2 linked regions of the Drosophila melanogaster genome follow. Changing the gene in region 2 together with the main gene of any one other region gives a genetic interaction. Each region holds a gene or a part of one and is shown on either strand. Other genes may lie near its edges.

What was found. A genetic interaction does not mean that the proteins touch.
Region 1: of cmb (region 2) and frtz, changing one enhances a phenotype caused by changing the other (phenotypic enhancement), as found in Drosophila melanogaster (one study listed by BioGRID).

What each region holds. Positions count from the first base shown.
Region 1 is NT_033779.5:1,710,779-1,717,511, reverse strand, and holds frtz (fritz), read left to right. Parts: upstream 1-1,660; 5' UTR 1,661-1,955; coding exon 1,956-2,373; intron 2,374-3,038; coding exon 3,039-3,339; intron 3,340-3,394; coding exon 3,395-4,345; intron 4,346-4,403; coding exon 4,404-4,915; intron 4,916-4,969; coding exon 4,970-5,367; intron 5,368-5,424; coding exon 5,425-5,584; intron 5,585-5,644; coding exon 5,645-5,760; 3' UTR 5,761-6,210; downstream 6,211-6,733. Other genes in the region: Rim2 (replication in mitochondria 2), read left to right, coding at 283-409; mRpL48 (mitochondrial ribosomal protein L48), read right to left, coding at 6,227-6,661. UniProt on the Drosophila melanogaster protein: Probable effector of the planar cell polarity signaling pathway which regulates the septin cytoskeleton in both ciliogenesis and collective cell movements. Functions cell autonomously to regulate wing cell hair polarity and number.
Region 2 is NT_037436.4:13,440,987-13,448,602, reverse strand, and holds the start of cmb (combover), read right to left. Parts: upstream 6,010-7,616; 5' UTR 5,885-6,009; coding exon 5,615-5,884; intron 5,485-5,614; exon of another isoform or gene 5,304-5,484; coding exon 5,147-5,303; intron 4,915-5,146; coding exon 4,517-4,914; intron 4,391-4,516; coding exon 4,298-4,390; intron 4,236-4,297; coding exon 2,705-4,235; intron 2,595-2,704; coding exon of another isoform or gene 2,592-2,594; coding exon 2,323-2,591; intron 2,262-2,322; coding exon 1,720-2,261; coding exon of another isoform or gene 1,716-1,719; exon of another isoform or gene 1,642-1,715; intron 1,330-1,641; coding exon 219-1,329; intron 161-218; coding exon 1-160. Other genes in the region: CG14109 (uncharacterized protein), read right to left, coding at 6,299-6,976, 7,324-7,377.

The DNA.
Region 1 (6,733 bases), on a different chromosome or scaffold from region 2:
GTAGTTCCCTTGAATCCGTCTTGAAATAGAATCGAAGGGAATCCCACTTGCACTCCGACATGTATATAAGAAACATATACATATAAGCTAATGAATTATCATAATGTGCCACCCACGAATTCGTGAAATCTATTTAAATTCTTTTGCGTCGCATATTTTTTGTTTGTTTACCTTAATTTGATTATCACTCTCGAGCGTGCTCACTCGAGGTGTTTTATATATGAGAGCTCTACCTTAGCAAATTCTCCTACTAATTGTAAACTTTACCAACTATTTCCACAGAGGCTTGGCCACGCAGCTGGTGCGACAGATTCCCAACACGGCGATCATGATGGCCACCTATGAGGCGGTCGTCTATGTGCTCACGCGGCGCTTCAACAACAAATCGAACGAGTTCTACGACTTTTAGATGCCTTTCAAAGGACTGGAGAAGGAGTAACCCAATCTGTGCATATGTAGACGCGACTGCTGCAACTTTATGTAATTTTATCCCTCGTTTTTAAACGATCCAAACCAACGAGCGCAAATTCTTAGTTAACTAGCTTCTAAGTCAGATATGAAACGAACTCGATAGACTTAAGACGTTAGACGTTGAACGTTGGCCAACCAATCGAAAAAAAAAAAGAAGCAAACAAAGAAAAAACCAATAATGGGAAACACGCACCAGGATCGAAGTGCACCATCCACACCCTAAACCCACTTGCTGCATGCCACAGAAGGATGTGGTATGCCACCGCAGGGCGAAACGTTATCAAAATTTGAAAAGGCTGCTATTTAGTTAAAGTTACAATATATATTGAGTGTATAAATGTGGTTGATACTTGGATAATATAGTGTACATAGGACTCGATTCGCTCAGAGTGCATTGTAAATAGTTAAAGAGTGAGTTCGCTGGCGTAGTTTTCTTAGTTGTAAGCACAAAATGTTGAATCGGCCGCAGTTGCCAGTAGATGCCGCTAAATATATATATATATAGATATAAAGCCGACCGATCCGATTCGTAAACTGTAAAAGTTTCCGTTAAGTTTCCTCAAATGCGATATACGATTTAGTTATCATTACTCTACTATATTACTTTAACTATATTGATACAATTTTTGCTGTTTATTTAGTCCATTAGTTAGCTAGTTAGTTAGTTATCCCCCCCCCCTCCACGCAAAACGTATTTCACTGATAATGAGCAAAGAACTAAGGAAACCACTGTGAATAATTGATTGCAATCCGATTTGATGGTGAAATCAATAAATACAACAATTTTGTTTAAAAATAACCCACTCGTTTCCCATTTAATATATATGTACATTATCTTATCTTAACAATCGTCTGCAGTCGAACATAGTTCATCTTGGCTAACCAGACTGCCGCCCATAAAAGTGAGATGAGATAAGCCGATTTGGCCAAGATAATACGATTTCGCACAACTAAATTAAAGTGATTTATTGGCTAGCTACTACACTGCGAAAGTAGTGGTAGCTTATTGTAAATATTTTATTTTTCTGAATTTCAAAAATTTAGATCCTGGTTCGGGTACGTGCTAAAAACATAGCATAGCCTGGTTCACAACCTATGTGCTCCATCGAAGATCTCCACCACGTGAGCGATCGCAGTTGTAGTCCATCTATATCACGCCACCACCACGCTCAGCGACGTAACAAAGTGCCGTCTCTAGTAACGTAAGCAGTGTTTCGAGCAACAAGTTTATTTTATTTTCATAAACAAAGTTTGTTTAAAGCGAAAAATCCTGGCCAAAGTGCTAATTCGTTGGCTATTCCGCGAGCAACCTTGATAACGAGTCGCAGAGCAGTCATAGAGCAGCGCAATTAACCCCGATACAAAGCAATCAGTGCAATTGGAGCAGCTTGAAAGGCACACGCCAACAAATCGAGATCGAGCTGATCGAGTCGCGTTGACACCCATCATTCCGCCATGCAAATCGATGCACTGGAGGCCTGAATATGCTGCTCAGCGAGACCCATTTCTGGACCACGTTGCGCGAGGATGTGGTGCGGATCAAGAGCCAGGACCTGGGCGCCTTTCGCTACCTCAGGCAGCGCGACAAGGAGCAGGAGCAGCAGGACCTCGCCTGCCTGGCCAAGCGAGACTATACGGAGCGTCGCAATGGACTGGCCGTGCTGAAGAACTCTGGTCGCAAGTCCACCGGCCGCTTGAAGGACAACCTCAAGAAGCTGGAGGACCTGCTGCGCCAGCACAGGATCATCCACTCCGAGTGGCAGGACGCGGCGCAGGTGCTGCTCCTCTTCTCACACGGCCTGATCGCCCACATCTGCGTGGACATCTACACGGGCGACATTCTGCGCATGGTCTTCGAGAAGTACCTGGTGGGCAAGCTCGCCTCCGAGGTCATTACGGATGGTATGTGCGATTCTCTCCTTTCACCCGCTCCAGCCCGCCCTCCATCGCATTAGAGCCATCCATCAATCAGCTTGGGCATTGCATTTCTGCATGTGCAGCTCGACTGGCAGACATCTCAACTTGCAGCGTTCGAAAATCAGTTAATATGCGTTAACATCACGCAATACATAATGGCTATTTCAGGCGTAATTAAAGGTTCCTCATCATTAGAACGAATTACCAAGACAGCTTGCTAGAAACACATGCATGCCATTTAATTATTCACTAAGCTCTCAGCTATAAAAGCTGTCCTGCATTTAGTTCTTTGTGCTGTTTGCCGCTTGTCATCCAGGGTATCAGTCATTCGATAGAGTGCAGTCCGCATTTGGCCTTGCTCCGCGGAGTGCTGCTTGTGCAGTTATGGAGAAATTTGCATTGGCAACAAGTGCGACTTGATTTGCACTTTCCCACACCAACACAGCCGCACGCACACATGCAGGGCATGCAATTATTGTAATTTTTAATTAATCTGCTGGCTTGTTTTGTTGCCTGTAAATATGCGAACCCCCAACCCCTTTCCCCCATCCACCATCCTCCGGCTTTCCATGTTTTGTTCGAGCCACTCATTCAGCTTTGTCGCTTGTGTCTCTTTTCTCGTCGTGCGCCCGCATCCGTTGTCTCGCCAGCTTTTTTCACCCGTTCCCACATCGTCTTGGCCTACAATACCAACCAGCTGACGGTGGTGCATCTGCAGAGGCCTAATGCTCGCTCCCAGGGACCGGAGAAGATCGCCAATATGGATCCGCGCATCTTCCACGTGATCATACCGGGCGCCACAGAGCGCAAACTATCCCGCCACCTCACAGTTAACGCCAGCTTCGATCTGTTCGTGGTTTGGACGCAGTCCTCGCAGAACGAGGTGTATCCCTGGAGGCCAACGATAAGGGACCAAGATCGTGCCAACATACATGTGTTCAAGATCAAGGGGTAAGTTGCACAGTACAACTCCCACTCCATGGCCCAGTCTAATCGCTTTGCTCAGCTTGCAGCTGGAATCGATTGCCTATTGCTGGTCGGAGAACGATCCGCTGTGCGTGGACTTCCTGCGAAGCAGCGAGAGCCAGATCATCACCCTGGAGCAGAAGGTTTCCCGCAAGGGCGACATAAGCGCAGAAATCTGCTCCTACGAACTGGCCGCCGGCAAGATGCAGCGCACCGCCATTACCTCCATTCCAATGGGCGCCCAGATCTGCTCCTTTGCCTTCAGCCCCGACCAGGAGAAGCTCTTCCTGGGCAGCGTCGATCGCAATATCTGCCTGCACGACCTGGTCCAGCAGTCGACAAAGTACGCCAACCAGATTGAGATCGTGCCCAATCAGTGCGCCTGGCACTGCGACTCCGCCATGCTTTGCGTGGCCAACGAGCGATCGGTGCTGCAGTGCTTCGACCTGGCGCTGGCCACCATTGGCCATCAGCTGGTTAGCGAGAATGTGACGCCGTCCAGCTTGCTGGATCTGTCGCACTACTTCGTGGCCCAGCCAACGCTGCTGAGTGTCGCCTTCAGCCGAAAGCCAGATTTGTCCACTTTTAAGCACACCTACGCCCAGACGGATTGCCTGCTGCTGCTGGTGTACGAACAGGGACCTTTGGCCTGCATGCGCATCTTTGGCGGCACCGGAATGCGCGGCGACATCCACAATTCCGGACTCACTGCGGACGTCATTGCGGACAAGTATCTGCGGCTGCAGCAGCCGGACAGAGCGGTCAATGTCCTGGCCGCCCTCAACTGGGAGACCTACGGAGCCATGTGCCTGATTACGCTGCACAAGATAGCCAACTATGTGTTCTTCGGCGGTGACCAGCGACGACCTCGCATCGAGCTGATGGCCAGAGCGTTGAAGACATTCGCCCACACGCTTTCCGAGGAGACGAAGGACGAGTTCAGCGATCAGGTGTACGATCTGAAGCGCCGCTTCTGCTTCTATCTGCTGCGGTGAGTTGAGCTCGTGTGAACATGCCACTTTTATGCTCAATCCTTTCGTTGCTTGCAGCAAAAACCTCTTCGCTGAGGCCTTCGAAATCGCCCAGGATGTGGCCGACTATGACATCTTCATGGACCTGTACAACCTAACCAAGTGCATCTCAAGCCTGAGTGAGTTCGCCCAGGTGGCCTTCAGTCAGGCAGCTGCCATAATCCACGAGGAAGATCGCGCCAACGGCAATCTCAGCCTGACCTGTGACCTGCGCTCGGAGTCGGCCTGTTCGCTGTCCACCTGCTCGGACATGTTGCGCGGTCAGGGAGCAGGAACTGCCCCCGAAACCGGACTAGGCGCAAGTCAGCCACAAAGCCAGCAGGTCCTGAAGAACTATGTGCCACCGCTGCCCTCGTTCAAGTCGAAGGTATTCAACGCTGAGATGATCAAGATCAACATACCGAAACCGGAACTGAGGCCGCCCTTGCCGAAGGTTTCAATAGCGCCGCCAACATCTTCGCTGGCGAGTCTAACCCTGAAGTCCAACAGTAGTCTGCAGCAGGCGCCCGCAAAGAGTCTGCATCCAAATGGTTCGTGTGAAGAAAATTCCCTTCATAACTTAAATAATTTATCCATTATTTCAGGCAATTTGTGGTCCCAGGACGTGCCGGATCAGACGGTGGGTCTGCCTATGGCTAGTAGTCCACTTCCTCGTCTTCCGCCTTCAAACATTCCAGATCAGAGCGCCCAGCTGGGTCAGTTCAGCACGATGCCAGCTTCGCCTCCGCCGACAGGGTCCTATCAGCCCAAGTTTTATCAACATCCGCTTGTCTCTGGCAATATTCCCGCCATGCTGCCATCGCTCACCAGCGAGGACTACCAGAAGCGCCTGCTGCAAAAGAAACCCACCGCATCCATATTGTCCAACCCGGCGAATCCAGCACCCACCAACGGAGAAGCACCCGCCACGCCCGCAAAGTCACAAACGGCCGAAAAGAACAAAGTCAAGTTCTCGGATACAATTCAAGTGGCGGTGGTGCCAGTGAGTTAACAAATCAATCGATGATGTGACAGTTTACTAATGCTCTTACTCGAACAGGAAATTCCTCGCAAGGAAAAGCCAATGCCACCCAAGAGAAATGGTTACTCCAGGCCCGCTGCGCGACATCTGACAAATCCTAAAAAGGAGCTCGCAGACAGCCTGCCGCTCTGTCATCCGAACGACGAGTATCTAAAGGATTTCAACCCCATTACGACCAGTGGGTATTTGTTGAGTTCACCAATAACCTTGCCCCATTGACCGTGTCATTTCTTCGCAGATGTGACTAAGCCGCCCATCCGACGACGCGAGGAAGAACCCAAGAGCAGCAGCAAGGGCGGCAACTCCTCCTCCTCCTCGTCGTCCATCAAGGTGGTCCACTTCGGCGTGGTCTAATAATTCATAGTGCAATTCCCAGGCGTACACCACACAACGGTTAAGCGCTGCGTCTTCCAATCGTTTGTAACTATTGTAGTAGGCTGCTCCTTCTACCCTCTTCCTTTACTCTTAGTCATACATACCTAATTATACATAGCCAATCTAGTCATAAGCTTATACACTCATACACCCATCCTTAACATACAAATATTATCGAGAAACTTATCGACTAATCGACTCGCCACTCTGCAGAGAGCGCGGCAGTCAGTCGCTGTTGAACCAAGCTAAAGGACAGATCAAAAATAAAAGAGACACGTGAAATTGTATTAGAATATTAACTTCTGTAAACGGCGGCTAAACTATTGCCGTCCCAGTTAGTGCAAAGCTTTAAATAGGAAAGTTTTACTCATAGGTTCTCTATACTCTTTACACAGGTTACTCATTAAAGCTAAGCATTAAATGTTTGCCAAATCGGAGGCGCCGCCTACTTCTTCCTGGTGGTGGTGGGTCCGCCCATGCGCTCCAGCTCGTCCTTCAGGTCGAGCAGCTCCTTGTCGGGCACGTAGCGCCGCTCCTCGCAGTCGTCGGTGTACTCCTGCACCTGCAAGCTCACACCCTCGGGCAGCGCCGCCTGGGCCAGGCGCAAGAACTGCGGATAGACTGGCGCATCCACATTGTTCAGCTGCAGGTTGCGCTCGTAGGTGGTCAGCTTGTACTCCGATTCGATGACCGTGGAGTTGGGCCGCAGTCGCTGCACCGTGGTCTTTTGCGGAGGGAGGGCGTAGCAGTCGGAGACGTCCAAGTCCAGGTACTCGGCCAATCCGTGCAGAAACCTCTGGTAGCTCTCCAGCTGCGGGTAGTCGTAGCCCTTGATCTGCACATTCAGGCTCTCGTACTGCGGGAATTTCGGCTTGAGGGACTGCAAACGGAGAACAATGGTTACTGACCACCAAAATAATTGCTCATCTAGTCTGATCTGATTGAAATCTGT
Region 2 (7,616 bases):
CTGCCAGTAGGGAGTCATTGATGACGGTGTTGTTGTGCGTCTGATTGCGAATGCGTTTGATAATGTACTCGATTAGTTCGTGATCCGGTGCCAGTTCTATGCTGGTCCCTGGTCCTGATCCCGAGCCAGAGGCTTGTTCTAGTTTTCCCTCGAGGATTTGCTGGTAAGGAAGACGCAATTATGAGTTAATCGATCCAGTTTACGAAAGCCTTTCTTACCTCTTCGTTCTCGGTCCTAAGAGAAGAGATAACAGCAGAAGCACTGTCCTCCATTTCATCCAGGTGCTGCCCGTTCTGTGGATTGGACAAACTTAGCTGCTTCACTGGCGTTCCTTTTTCGTCCTCGGGCCGATCGTTGTCTAGCTGCAGACGCATTACCTCTAGCGGGGTTTCACTGCGACTCTCGGTGGCCTCGGCGTCGCCAGTAGGTTCGTTCTCCTCCTGGTTAAGAGCCTTTCGCAAGCCGTGTGGTTCATGTGAGTGCTGCAGCTGCTGATTTTGTTGCTGTTGTTGTTGCTGCTGCTGCTGCTGCTGCTCGAAGAGTGTCTCCAGCCGGCGGTAGACATCCTCCTTGATTGATTCATAAAACTTTGTGGTGAACTTGTCGTTCTTCAGAGCGTTAACCAGCAGATTTCGATTCAGTTCCTCGGAGGCCGTTTCCTCGGTTTGCTCCATGGCATTTGATTCGTCCGCGGGCGATGCTTCTTGTCCGAGCGTAGGAGTAGTGTCCACTGGAGTAATCTGGGGTAGCTCGATGTAGTCCATGTAGTGAGCTGGAAGTTCGAAGTCGAAACGAAGATGTCGCTGCTGCAGAGGAGTAAGCGACACAGTCGAAGTGGTGGGCTTTGCTGGTACCTTGTTCCGCTGATACAGCGGACTGTTGCCATAGTTTACGTTCATGTTGAGATTGGAGGAGCTAGCCTGCTCGGACTCATCATCCCGCAGCGTGGAAAGCTGAGGACGGCGACGATTGCGACGTCGACCCGAGCCGAATATGACGTTATCATGGTTCTCCTCCACCTCGTCCACATCCTCATCGTCGTGGTCGCGAATGTGGCCTGCATCATCGCGCCAGTCCCTTTTTCTGCCCGAACTGCCGCTGTTGTTGAGATTATTGCTGCCATTGGAGCTGCTGCCATGCAAAGCGGTTAGTGGCGCCTCGAAAAAGTGACGACGCTGCTGCTGGTGGGTCAAACCACCACGCGTAGTAGGCGGAAGCAACTGGGGCGGCTGAAAGTAGCTGGGACGTGCCCGTTGTCGCCGATACTGCTGGAGGTCCACGTTCAGCTCCTCGTTGCTTTTATTTGATAAGAGATTTTGGCGCGAATGGCTGGAAGAGCGTACAGATATTAATGGGTTAATGCAAGCGGGTAGCAAAGAATCATGCAGTTGATAAACTAGCTAAATCTAGTGAGCGTTACTAAGTTAAGTTTTTCTATTCCATATATCCTTTTTAAATTGAATACACATCTTTTATAAATTAGCTTTGTTTACTGCCGAATAGGCACTTGCAAAACTTGGTCAGTACTTGGAGTTAGTCTTGGTTAGTCACTTTCAACTCTGTTAATGGGACACTTATCTGCAACGCGTGGTCGCACTTACCGGTGCACAGAATTGAAAATTAACTCTTCACAATAGTTTTATTTAATTTTTATTGCTTTTGACCCTTTTCCATCAAACAACCATTAATAAATCCAACACCAAAGTTATAAAGCATTACCTGCGGAAGTTGTCCCAGTAGTTGTTGGCTCTGTTTCCGGGTGGTACTTGATTGTTCAATGTAATACCGCCACCAGGTGCTCCTCCACCAGCTGCTCCCTCGGGCAGCGAGTGCAGATTGTTGGCATGCTGGTTCTGGGTTCGCAGATTCGAGTTGTTCTGATGTATCGTGTTGTTATGGTGGTTCATGAAGATGGGACCTGGACTTGAGCGGTAAGTAGGCGGCGACAGGGGTGTCTCGTTGTTGAAGTGCGTCGGCGGTGGCGGGGGAGCAGCATTGTTAAGGAACGGCTGCGCCTGATGCTGCTGCTGTTGATGATGATGCGATTCTGCCCCGCTACGATGACAGCTGCGCTGATAGTTACTAAAGGCGCTCTGGTGGGCACCAAAGTTAAATAGCTGCTCAGATTGAGCTCGACTGCTGCCCAGGCACAGATTGTTGGGCATCTGACCCATTCCAGGGCCCACCGGAGGCGGTACTGATTCCGAGCGCAAGCCGAAGCTGTGATCCTGGCATGCTACAACATTAAATCGATCCTGGAGCTGTGAAAAAACACTTGAATTAGTCTTTGATTAGGCTCTCTAATCTCATGGATTGTCTTACCGCATGTAGCTGGTGGTTGAGGTTGTCGATTTCGCGCTGTTGATGCCACAGTGCCTGGTTGCACTGGCACACAGAGTTGATAAGCATTTGCTGCGTCTGCATGAACTGCTGCAGCAGAACTGCGTCGGTAGAGGCATTCGATCCGGATCCATTTGAGGAGCCCCCTTGTTGGGCGGCTGGCAGCTTTTTAAACTCTGTGCCGGCACTGGAGCTCGGCTGACCGTAGACGGGCTGCTGTCCATGCCACGAACTTCCAGAGTTGTGTGATGCTGCTAGCGGATGCATAAAAATAAGCGTAAAACGAGGAAACTAATACATGAATTCAAGTTGGTAAAGTAAAGTTGGTAAATTTCCGCCTTTGTTGGTGGAATTAAAAACGTACCCCACATTCCAGGCACTGGTTGCATGGGGGGCGGCATGTACTGCGATCTATTGCTGCTGGATGGTATGCTGTCATTACCCAGGGATAGCGTATCAAGTGTCACATTCAGGTCATCTTCGTTTAGCGTCGACGGAGGAGCAGGCGGCGGTGGTGGTGGTGCCTGCTGTGGGGGAACGTTAGGTTGCTGACCTCGTCGTTGCTCCACCACTGTGTTGGCGGATGGAGCCCTCTTTAGGGTCGCTGAGGAAGCGGTACGTACGTTGGCGAAGTACTTATCGCTGTCAGTGTCGTCGTTTGCCTCGTCATCCGCCTCCGATGTGGTGTTGTTACTGGCTACGTAACGCTGCTCCAGTTCCCGCTGCTTCTGCTCGTATTCCGTTCGCAGGCGCTCGCACTGCGAGCGCAGTTCATCGCGCAGTTGTTCCTTGGTGGGCGTAGCCTGAAGAGAATTATCCACTTCGGATGGATCCTCTTCCTCGGTCATCCGCTGTCTCATGGGGGTGGGTGTTGGGGTAAGACTGCTTCTTTTAAGTGCATCATCGCCCATTTGAACAGCGGCGGCCGCCTGTTGTTTGCGTCGCTCAATCTCTGCCTTCAGGGCTAGGATACGGTCACGCTCCTTTTGCAAGCTTGCTGCTTCCGCTCTCAGTTCGCTCGTAACATCGTTCAGAGCGAATACGCGCTGGGCAATCTCGGCCGGCAATTCGCGCTCCACGCTAGTTCTTTCCTCACTACGCCGCTCTAAGGTGGAGCCCATGCTGGGAGTACTTTCTTCAATCTGGCTAACAGTGTACAGCATTCCCTTTAGTCTCGCCATCTGAGCCTTGAGTGCTTCTATATCTGCCGTCTTCTGGTTGATCATTGCCTGTGCGTGAAGTGCCCGTTGAGCAGCGTTGGCCGCCTCCTGGCGTATGATGGGTACGTTTCTCTGATACTCCACAGGAACAACACGCTCCTTGGGAGCCGCTGGGGCAGCCTCCTCTGGCTTGGGAGGAGGCGTGGGAGTCTCCTCTTTCTCTTTGATGACTCTAGCAGTCTCCCTGGCCGCACGGTTGATGCTGTTTAGTTCGTCCACCAGATTGCGCATATCCTCACGTTGGGTGCGCAGTGATTCCAGTTTCTCCTGCAGGGCTTCCTGCTCGGCCAGGATCTCGGGCCCATCATCGCCAAGCACCGTGCTCAGTTCGTTCTGGTTGTGTATAAAGGCGGTGAGATTCTTCATGCGCCCCACCAGCGACGCCATGTCGTCCTGTACCTGCTGCACGGACTCGTATTTGGGGGCCTCTCCCCCATTGACATTGTGGGGTAAGCTATCGGCTTGCTGGCGCAGCCGCTCCATCTCGTTAAGGTGAGTCTTGGCCAAATTTTGGATTTGTAACAGCTTCGCCTGTTCGTCGTGCAGGTGCTGCATGTTCCTATTGGAGGCTTCCAAGCGCTGCTGCAACTCATCGAAGCTGGGCGTGGTATCGGGCGTGGGCGTTTCCAAGACGCTGTGTAGGGACTGAATGGATTGGGCGCGGTTGTCGCTCATCTGAAAGGTACAAATGGTTTGAGTACTAGAAGGCAGACTTTTGGTTTTATTAACCAACTAACCTCGCTTAATGCAACATCCTCCAAGCTGGTCGAATTGACTACGCCTTCACCCTGATCCGAATTTGGGTTGATTTCGTGCACCATGTTGTTCGTCTGGGGCAAGAATTAAAGGATTTAGTTTCATTTATTATTACGATATAAAAAATGTTATTATCAATCTTATAAATGTTATAAATGTACGGCTCACTTGAAGTTCCTGACACAAGCTTTCAAACTCACCTCTACAACTTTCCTACTCGGTTGATATCTGCTATTCAGGTTCTCGTCTAATCCTAGCAGGGCGCGTAACACGTCAACCTGCGAGCGAAAACCTTCGGTTCTGGGAGCAAAATGGTGTACACCAAGAAGTCGGTGAACGAGTTGTTGCAGTCCAGCGGGGGTCAGTGGCGGTGCCTGCTCCTCGTTGCCACTCAAATTGCCGTTTCCGTTGCTGGTAGTTGCGTTCGGTATGACCACACCTACTGTGGCATTCGGAGGCGTCGATTGACGCAAACGCAGCAAAGCCGTCGAAGATGAGGGGGCGCCTGTGCTATTAGCTGACGAGGATGGCTGGTGCTGAACCCTCTGGACAGGACGGACGGGGAATCGATAGCGCTGCTGCTGTTCCTGCAGTTGCTCTGTAATGGAAAATAGCCAAAGATCAGTATGGATGTTTAGGTCCATTGCTAAATACTGCGCTGCGAACTACATCATCTCAGTGGGCGTTTATTTTCGTGCGCATCTTATTTATAGAACATGAACTGGCGCACCGATCTCTGTGTGGGCCAGGCCGATCACTTTGCCAGGTGCGGATATTGGAAATTGCTCAATTAAATGTGTATATTCCTCAACGGTTTCAGGACCCATTACCTGCTGTATCGTAGTTGCCGTGTTCGGCGGCCAACTGACGCAGTGCCTCGCGCTGCTGTTGCTGTTGTGCAGGCGACCTGTGATCCTTGCTAGACAGATGCTGCTCCGCCGGCGATCGATTCTTGGCGTTGGTGATGCGTGCTCGCTGGAGGAGATCCTTTAAGCAACAGTAAATGAAGATTAGCAGGAAAACCAGCACGAGGATTGCGGTAATTTTGCTGATTTTAGGTCTATATATATATATCTATTTCAGATATATATATATATATGTATAAGGGCGCTGCTCTGGCCGATCGAAATTCGTTGTCCGCAGTGGTTGAGTTCGCATTCGCTACTGAGCCAGCGGCTAACGAATTTCCGCAGGTCGCGATGAGTGTAAAGTGTATTTATAAAACCAAGAAGAGAAAGGTCTTGGTGTCTTCTCTTCGAGAAGATTTGCCATGGCAACCAGACGTCCGTCTAACTTACATTCAGAGTTTTCAGCGTCTCCCGCTGCAGCGTCTCTGGCTCGACAAGTTCCATGTCCGGTTCGCCCAGGTGCTCCTGCTGCCGGCGAGAGCGGGCCGACCGGCTGGATGTCACAGATGCACTCGACCCGGACGTGGGTGCTCCGTTTACAGGCGTTTGTTGTTTAGGCACCGCACCGGTTGCCCCGCCCACCGAGTTGTTGTTGCTGCTGCCATTGCTGCGGGCGCTGGCGTTGGCTTGGTCCACAACTACCTTGGGCGGCGGCGCCATTAGAAAATATATATATATATATTTGCGTACAAAAAACGACGCTACAAAATTGAAAAAACTCCTCTTTTTTGTACTCCCACTTTGTTTTTTTGCTTTGCGCACTCTGACAGCTGTTCCCAACCAGGGCTGGAAGCTAGTTAACAAGCCTACCAAGTTATGGTCACACTGGCAGCGGACGTTTTTTGAAATCGAATGTTTTCTAAAATTCAAAAATAAATATTATTTTTAGTTTAAAATAAAATGTATATCTGTAAAAAGTATTTTAAATGCTTTTGGTGTAGATAAACTAACGTTACTTGGTAATTTGATATCTTTTAAGGATAATTATTTATTTGGAGATTACTTTATAATATGTTCCTTGGATAATAAACATTATATGACTAGAGCCATTTTCCCTTTCAAGTTTGGACGTGCCTACTTTCCCTGCTTGCGCTGGATGATGTCCTCCTTGAGCGCACGAATCCGATCCCTCTCCGCCCGGAGTCCCACCGCTTGACCGCGTAGATCACTGGTGAAGTCCGTGAACATGTTAAGCATGGAATTCAGGAGCTCGGCGTTATCGGGAGCACTCGACGAGGTCGATGGATTCTCTTCTTGGGCACTCTCTACGGCCTCGCTGGCCACTCGGACTTCTGACGAGGTGGTCTGCCTGCTGGTCTGAACGGAGGTGGAGCTCTGGACCTGTACCGTTTGCCTGGAGGACATGTGCTCCTCGATCATCTTGGTGGTGTCCACCATGTTCTGCACGCGCTTAAACTGCGCCTTCAGGTTGGCGATCTCGTTTAGCTTCTCCTGCAGATAACTGGCCTGCTCCTCTTTGTCCTCCCCGCCCTCTTCCTCACCAGATGGTGCCTCTTCCCGGTTTGTGAACTCTCCAGAAGCACTGGCGGATGAAGCAACTGTTACTGTCTCCGATGAGGATTCAACGTGGGACTGAACCTCCTCCTCCTCGGTGGACTGCCGCACTTGTCGGCGCTGGGCATTCAGAAGGGTCAGCTCAGCGGCTCGTAAGCGCAGTGTCTCCATCTCCTCAAGCAACTGGCGGTGCTCCTCCTGCATCTCTTGCAGCTGTCTGTTGGAAGCAGCTAGGCGCTTAAAAAATACAAATAATTAGTTTTGAAAGCTTCAATAATGAAAAAATTGGTTTAAAAACATCATAGTTCAAAGACTACATTAGGGCATCAAAAGAAAAATGATTTTGTATATTATTATTAAAAAACTCTATTTTTTAGCTCACTGGTATAGAAAAAGCTTCGTACTTAAATTTCATTTCAACTGAAACATCTAGAGACTGTAGGCTTATTGGTGTGACTCATTCATTTTGTTGTCTAAAAAGAATGTGTCACGGTATTTATTTAACTTTACTGACTGTGTTTTCTTATTGTTTTAAAACACTTAAATACTAAGAGTTTTGCAATTTCCCGAAGACTCCAGCTTACCTCGCTCAAGGCGGCATTGTCCCCATTTTGAGGCCTATTCAGTTCGTTGACCATTTTCTGGGTTCCTGAGGAGAAGAGGGAATACTTGGTGTTATGTATATCGTGCACGTTGATTATTTTCTCAATACAAACAAAGGCCCATCGCAAGGCACTGTCTATAAATAAATGGCTCTTTGTTAAATTATTTTTCAGTTAGAATAGTGTCAGTCATCTTGGCATTTTTGAAGACAAAACTAACAAGTGCACTTATGAAAATGTACACCACAATACACCACATATATTATACTTGAAAA